Linked DNA regions of Kluyveromyces lactis. Each later gene encodes a partner of the first gene's protein in a complex. Links are inferred from orthologs where the notes say so. Each region holds a gene or a part of one and is shown on either strand. Other genes may lie near its edges. The genes, in order: RAV1 and RAV2.

What was found.
Region 2: RAV1 (region 1) and RAV2 share a complex: the UniProt entries of both Saccharomyces cerevisiae proteins name them as parts of the RAVE complex. The link is inferred for Kluyveromyces lactis from reciprocal best matches to the Saccharomyces cerevisiae genes RAV1 and RAV2.

What each region holds. Positions count from the first base shown.
Region 1 is NC_006041.1:2,021,533-2,025,976, reverse strand, and holds the start of RAV1 (Rav1p), read right to left. Parts: upstream 2,869-4,444; coding exon 1-2,868. Other genes in the region: PET191 (Pet191p), read left to right, coding at 3,226-3,552. UniProt on the Saccharomyces cerevisiae protein: Component of the RAVE complex, which is required for stable assembly of the vacuolar ATPase complex V-ATPase under many conditions.
Region 2 is NC_006040.1:1,586,140-1,589,481, forward strand, and holds RAV2 (Rav2p), read right to left. Parts: upstream 1,818-3,342; coding exon 750-1,817; downstream 1-749. Other genes in the region: SPC19 (Spc19p), read left to right, coding at 254-715; ubiquinone biosynthesis protein COQ4, read left to right, coding at 2,195-3,193. UniProt on the Saccharomyces cerevisiae protein: Component of the RAVE complex, which is required for stable assembly of the vacuolar ATPase complex V-ATPase under many conditions. May be required for transport between the early endosome and the late endosome/prevacuolar compartment (PVC).

The DNA.
Region 1 (4,444 bases):
GAATTCAAATTTGGCTATATTCTCGAAACATTTCACGAGATCCTGCTGGCCTGCCCAATACGGAACTTTGAATTCTTTCACGTTATCCCATTTCTTTAATCTATTGAAAAGATTTGAAAAAAGAATCTCTTTATTGTCGGAATGAGTGGCCCAGCTGACATCTCTCATGTTGACACTTGTCTGTGTGCTCTTATGCGATGTGTACAATTTTACACCCAACATAAATCTAACACCATTTATGTCTACAACCTTCTCATTTAAATTTATCTCTTGAACAGCTTCGATCACAGAAATTAGGGTCACCTGTTGATGTCGAGTGAGATAGGGTAAAGGGGTCTTTGAAAGGAGATCAATAAGTGGAGCCGATACAGTCGAATCAAATGTGCTATATGGTTCTTCATAATTATCAAACACATACGTAGAATCGTTTGTATGAAGAAACTTGGAAGGACTTAATTTCAGTGATGATCCAATATCGTGAATCTCATCAGAGTTGAATTCCATCTTGCGCAGCGCATGGAAAAGCTTTAGGAGAATTTCTCTTACGAGGTTGACCTTTTTAGCAAATAAAGACTGGATCAACAGTTGTGGATGATATATTGGCAATGGACCATTCAATACACTAGTTAAATGCAAAATATCATTCGATAAGATTTTTCTAGAGCCAATTGAGCTGTACGTAAATTTGTCCTTCAAGTCTAGGCTTTTGTCCTTTATGAAAACTTGGTTGCCAGTGGCTATGATGATAGAACCATTCTTCAACCAGGTGGAGTCACCAATGGCATGTGTAGTGTGCTGTGAAACGTTGATTTTCTCAATTGGCAAGTAAGCAGGGTTTCTGTTCGTATAATCGTATCTTAGTTGCGTATAAAGAATGACATAATTTTCGAAACCAATGGCAACAATGCTTTGTTCAAATTCAGTGCTTGTCCAGTCAATATCAACAACCTCGTCATCAAAGGTAGTTTCGTACTCCAAGACACTCCTTCTCAAATCCCATAGAGTCATAGTCGTACCTTTTTCGTCAATTACAGATATCTTATCATTTGACGATCCCGTAATTTTCGAAGCATTAGTAATATTCGTAATGGTTTCATAACTCTTCTTCCACCTTATACCCGACTGATCAGCCTGTGCCTTATATATCCTTATTACTCCGAGTTTGGTAATTGAGGCAATCAATGATCTGTCACTTTGAAATTGATATCTCACCGGATCAATCGCGGACACAAGATAAAACTCTTCTTCTCCCTCCAAGTCAATAGAATTGCTATCTATCTGTTTCATGTCATCCTTCGTGAATACAAAGCCTTGGGAACTACCATCTGGATAAACATAAGCAAAAAAATGCTGATCATTGTGTGGCTTGTTTCCAGAAGTATTGACCATAATAGATGGGATCCCCTTCGTCTTATCTGCAGAGAAAGTGCTTTTAAGAATTGCTCTCTTCTCATTTGAAGAGCACACCCATAGTTGCACTTTGCAGTTTTCTAGAAAAGTTACCACCAGATTACCTCTGTCGTGGACTAAAGCATGTTTTATTGGCGATTCAGATATTAGCATTGCCTTTTTTGACAACGTAACCGAGTCCTTTAGTCTCAATGGAACCCAGATAGAATTTTCCTGGAACCTCGATGTTGTCAATATAGCAGAACCGTAGCTACTTCTAAAAACCTTTTGGATGGATTTTGTGTGTCCGGTCCATTTATGCTGTAGTATACCAATGGTTTCTGTTCCATTCAAAATTGATGAAATGTGTAGCAATGAATGCCTTACGCTTCCATGAAGATCATGAACAACAAAAGATATGCTTTTATCATCATCAAAAATCTGTGGTTCAGGGAAATGTACGAACTCTGGAGATGATCCCATTGCAGTATTAGATATTGAAGTTCTTAATAGATCTTTGACCGACATAATTTTCGGTACATCATCTGAAAGATTAGTCAATGCCAACACTCTAATTTTGAGACTGGGAGTGGTAAATAGAATAATTTCAGGTTTTTTTTCAAGAATATACTTGATCATTTCGCTTTGATGAGATTGGTCTTTGATGGTTTTTCTCAAGGTTTTTTGGATTAACCAGCTATCCAAAATAACACAAAATCTTTCGTTATTGGACTTTGACATCTCCACAGTTCCCCACTGCTGAACATTCTTCTTATTGTCAATATCAAAACTGATCCATACCCTCAACTTTCTATCTGCACATAAAGTGTAAATGACATGCGTAATATGTTCTTTATTGCATTGATGATCGTTTGTTTTCCACCTAAAGGTGGTCACAACATCTGGATGAGGGAGAATAACCAGATCAAAGAAATCTGAATCCGATGTTATTGACACTCGCCTCCAAATTTTCACTGTTCTATCGTTATAATTCATACTAGATATGAGTTTAGAATCAGAAGTTATTGAACAAAGATAAACTGGCAAAGGTTGTCTTTTACTCCATAATAGTCTAGGTTTGTACTCGCCAAAAACATCCTTTACATCCCAAAACGATAGGTAATCTGATCCCAATACTAATTCATTCCCCATACCCCATTGCAAGGTGTTGACGCGGGAATCATCATGGTACACTTTACAGCAGAATACCCATTTAGGGTTCTTCATGATTTGATGCAGCGGTTTGTAAATGTACACTTCCTGAGAAACAGCAACAGCAATGAGACCATTACGAGGATTAACATCGACAGCATGACAATCTGAATTCAAATATATTGTTTGAAGCCGCTCAGAACGATTGGAAAGCAATATTAGATTGTTACCAGAGCAGTATGCCAATATGGTATTATGGTTCCATGACCGCTGGCAAGCTGCTTGAGGAGTACTATTAGGCACACCGGGGAGGAAACTCAATGTCATTTACACCCAATTGTGCACACAGTTAATTTCAAATACCAGCTAACAGGGCAACAGCTTCAGAGACTTGGTGCTATGTAGTTACATAACATGCCCTTTCGGTCTGCGTAGAACATTTAACCTTAGTATTATTCATTTCCAAGTATAGTGCTTTCTATCGTCATTGTTAACGATTTCTGTATTTCCTGGAGACTAAGAAAGAACCTTTAATAAAAGATGTGATCATTGTGACAAAATACAGGTCATCGGTCTTTAATCCAAAGAAGTTCATGCTATATAGGAGCTACTAGAGGAATTTATTCAAGGGCTGGTAAGAATACTAATAATAGAAAAAGCTAATCATAAGCATATACCAAAAAAATGGGTGCCAGTTGTAACGATCAAAGGAAAGCTGTTGCTATCTGTTTGCAGAGATCGCCATGCGTGCTCATCGAAAGAAACACTCCTAAGCAGTGCATAGAAGATCCTAAGTTGAGTAAAGATCTACCAGAACTCTGTATGGCACAGATGAAAGCATTTTTGGATTGTAAGCGTGGTATTGTTGACATGACCAAAAGATTCAGAGGCAACGGTGCGTTATCTACGGGAAAGTACGATGAGCAATATGAAAAGCTATCTACCGGAGACTTCAACGCCAAGGAAGAGTATGAGAAGTTGAAGTTACTAGATAGTGCCAGCAAGAATTAAGGCATACAATCCCTTTTGCTATGCGTGTTTCTGTTCTTTCAATTCTCTTTTTTTACTTCAAAACATTTCATCATCAAATTGTCGCTCCTGCATAAAACTGGATAACTCACACCATATCTTGTAAATAATACTCTGCCGTGTGCTGCTCTTCTACAATCCAAATTCTAAACCCTTTTGTTAACGCATTGCCTCATTGAAATCGTCTTGTTCCAAGAATACCAAACTTGACTATACCCTTTCGGTTAATATATCTTTTAAGGAATGGCTATCTAGTAGGTTGTACGAAGCTATGCACAGATGTCATAAATTTACCACACAAGAAGATTGACATTAGGAAAACACTCGATTAATATACGTATCGGTATGCATATATTTAACTAATAGCCATATTTTCATTTCATACTCGCCTGCAAGAAAACCCGGAAATTGTCTCAGGTTAACCCGAGGGTTGTTAAGTTGAGATATATTGCAGTATGGAATAGAGTGACATGATAATATGCAAGTGCTATTTTCGTGAATAGGCTCCTAGTTCTGGGAAGGTTATATCAAAATATAAACACCTTACAAGCTCCTAGAGGTAGGTCGATTATTTCTGAAACTAAGTCCTCAACAATTATTAGGGCGTGTGGTCTAGTGGTATGATTCTCGCTTTGGGTTAATAGCTTAGCCAAACCTCGTTAAACGAGGTTTAACTACTGCAAAGCATGCGAGAGGCCCTGGGTTCAATTCCCAGCTCGCCCCGAATTTTTTTAAATTTGCCGCGCTTGATCATTATATAAGAGGGAATAGGGAAAAATTATATAAGATGATGGGTTGAAGGCACGCCCTGAAAGGCCATTTCGGGATTAATATCACCGAGCCCATTGACTCTAGTTTTTTTTACTTCTTGTTT
Region 2 (3,342 bases), on another chromosome or scaffold:
AGAGACTGCCTCGTAGCAAATACTGCTGAAGCTGCTTTACCACTTCTGTGAAGATAATACTAAAATCATGAAACTGAGAAAAGAATGGACTTAATTTCAATCACAATTATTTTAATTCACCACATAGAAAAGAGGTAAACAAACATTACGCAACATACACATGAAAACACAACACTTCACATAGATCGGCAGGATTGTAATTGGATAACGCACTGTGATAATTTGGCATTGTTATTTGAGCTGATTTGACACAATGGAAGAGGTACTTTCGGAGGGTGTAGATGCTTTAGCAGCATGTGTCGATGACATGGCGAAATGTTTAACCGTATCTAAGGTCACTACAGATAGAAGCACTAAACTTGCTATAAATATGCTACAAACTAAGAGGGTATTCCAGTTGGTATCAGAATATGATGTGCAGAGGGCCAGACTTGATTTGATGGAGGATATAGAACCATTGTTACAAAAACTATATAGTAAACTGGAAAAAGCTCTAACCAAATTGGAAAGGGAGCGGGCCACTCTATCACAAACATTCGAATTGAATAAACTACGATTCAACAATCAAGAAAGTAACCCCATCATAGATAATGTGAAATCGGATCCAGTTGTAATAGTATCCTCGACACATGAAGAATTGGAACGTCTCAAAGACTTAAAGAATCGTAAAGAAGAACTGATACAAAGAATACAGGAATTGCATGAAGAGAGATAAATAAGCATACGCCGACTCTCTATCTATCGCATTGTTAACTTAAATTTTGAATATTTACAAAGTGATTGCTGATTTTGTTTTCAAGCCCGTTCAACTTTGCACTGACACTAATCAATGTAGGATCGCTGGTGGTAATTGAAACTTTCTCGCATTCAGTGACAACTCGCCCGTTAAATGTCACACACCTAGCCAATAGATCGCTTGCTTGCGGAAGAGTGATTCTTTCAGTTGCTGAAAAACTGGATATCAAATTGTTTATCATAGATGTTTGTTCAACTTGCAAGCCTTCTTCCTTAAGGATCTCTGCGATTTTTCCATTTCTGTCTTGCTTCAGCCTGTCTCTGACTTTATCACTGAATGATAACCCAGTTTTCGAATCGATCTCACTCCAGGGTTTTTTAATGACTTTTGTCAAATTCCTAATGTCCAAGCAAATCTCGTTTTTGAATAGCACTAATTCCATATTGACCAAATGATGTGCTGATTCACAAATGTCATGAGATTCAGAGAAGTTGTCGTTTAAGAAGCTGTTGTTATTATGCGGAAAGACCAATTCTCGTGGAGGATTTTGTAATAATGTAATAGATTGTGTAAGTAACTCCAATATTTTCCCAATTTTATTGTGAAAAGTATGAATATCATCAAGTTTCATATCGTGTAATTCGGAAAGTTGCTGTAATTCGTCAAATAAGGACAATACGGATGATAAATTTGTAATTATGGCATTTATTTGAACTAAGGGAAATTGTTTATCAAGGTCCATCTTTAGAACTATTGGTTTACCCCTGCTAAAGTCTGGAAGCTTAATGATAGCCTGAAAATCCACTATAAATCCGGCCTGTCTAGTGATTGTCCCTTTAATCGATGTGCTGTCTGGCGCGGCACCTGATGTGTTAACGGAGACACTATTCCCATTGGTAAGAGGCATTCGAAATTTCTCAGGACTAGATAGTTGGTTTATGCATTTCTCAACATGGTCCATAACGTTAGGTAGCTCAGGCTTTATGATTTCTTTAATCAACCATGTCTGTTGTAACAAAGAGCTCTCCTCATATGTAGGAGCATTTTTATATGCCCCATCATTATATAATTCCGTAGTCATCTCGGATTTATGCAATTGAGAATTAATGTAGCAAAGCTCCCTTAGCGTGTAGATAGCAAGAGCCTTGCTAAGATGGGCGTTTTCCTTTGTCAACCTTTTTACTATTCTTTTGCCTTTTTCGTATGATGATTCTTCTGAATATTTCAAATTTAAACCTTTTCTTGAAGTTGATGCGACTCACCCACATATACTTTAACTAGAGATAAAGGAAGATCATTGAAAATTGTAAAGTGGTTGTAATTGAAATTGCTGGCGTGGATTAGGATCAAGGTTTACACAGATTCTAGATTTGACTCAATTGACGAGTTGTACTCCGGGACACAGCTTTTTATTATTAGGGAAAGTGTGCTATTAAACGCATCAGACGACGACCGCAAATGTTTACTGTAAGTAAGAAATCCTTACAAGCAAGTCGTAACGCTTTCAGTCCATTGAATAATAGCAAGAGAACAATCGTATTTACTGCAATAGCAGCTTTTGGAGACCTATTGATTGGGAAAGATGTTAGACTAGCAGATGCTATGGAGAAAGGGAATCTGCATAATAAAAATGGAGAGTATGAGCATAAGATGGAACAAAGGACTCAAGAAAGGTTAAATGCATTACGAAACACAAGACCGATAGAACCTAATTATGAGGGTCATGTTCCACTTTGGTGGTATGAGCGAATGATGCTCTTCGGTATCAGTGGTTTAAAATCTTATTTCCACCCGGAGAACGGTGAGAACATCGTTCAATTAGGAGAAGCTACTGCTCTACCTTGCTTTCTTGAAAGTTTAAAACGGACAATGTTGTTAGATAAGACTGGTAGAAGGATTCTACAAGACAGACCAAACATCACATCGGAAAGCCTTGACATGGAACGATTGTCAAAGATGGATAAAAATTCAGTTGGCTATACGTACTACAAATGGTTGATGAAAGAGGGGGTCTCTCCAGACACAAGGGCACCAGTTACTTATATCGATGATCCTGTCCATGCTTTCATATTTAAGAGATATAGACAATGCCATGACTTTTATCATGCAATAAATGACCTACCAATCATAATCGAAGGTGAGATTGCAGTTAAAGCATTTGAGGCATCAAACATTGGTGTCCCAATGGCTGCACTTGGTGCTCTATTAGCACCATTGAGATTAAAGAAAGTGCAAAAGGAAAGACTTTACTCCATCTACCTCCCATGGGCAGTCAAAGCAGGGCTGAATTGCAAACCTCTCATCAATGTCTATTGGGAAGAAATCTTGGATAAGGACATAGACGAACTAAGAAGAGAATTAAACGTCACACCACCTCCAGATTTGAGAAAAATTAGAAAGGAAAGAGCGAAACAAAGAAAACAGTTCAAGCTTAAGTATGAGACCTACGAGAAATGAATTTTAAACCCTCAATCCCCAAATCGTGATGGCTGGCGTAAAGTTGCTTTGTAAAGTATAATGCAGGGTCATTCTGTGGATATAGGAACCAGGAAAAAAGAAATAGAAATACGTACGTAATGAAATAAACGTCTTCAATTGAAGAGGAA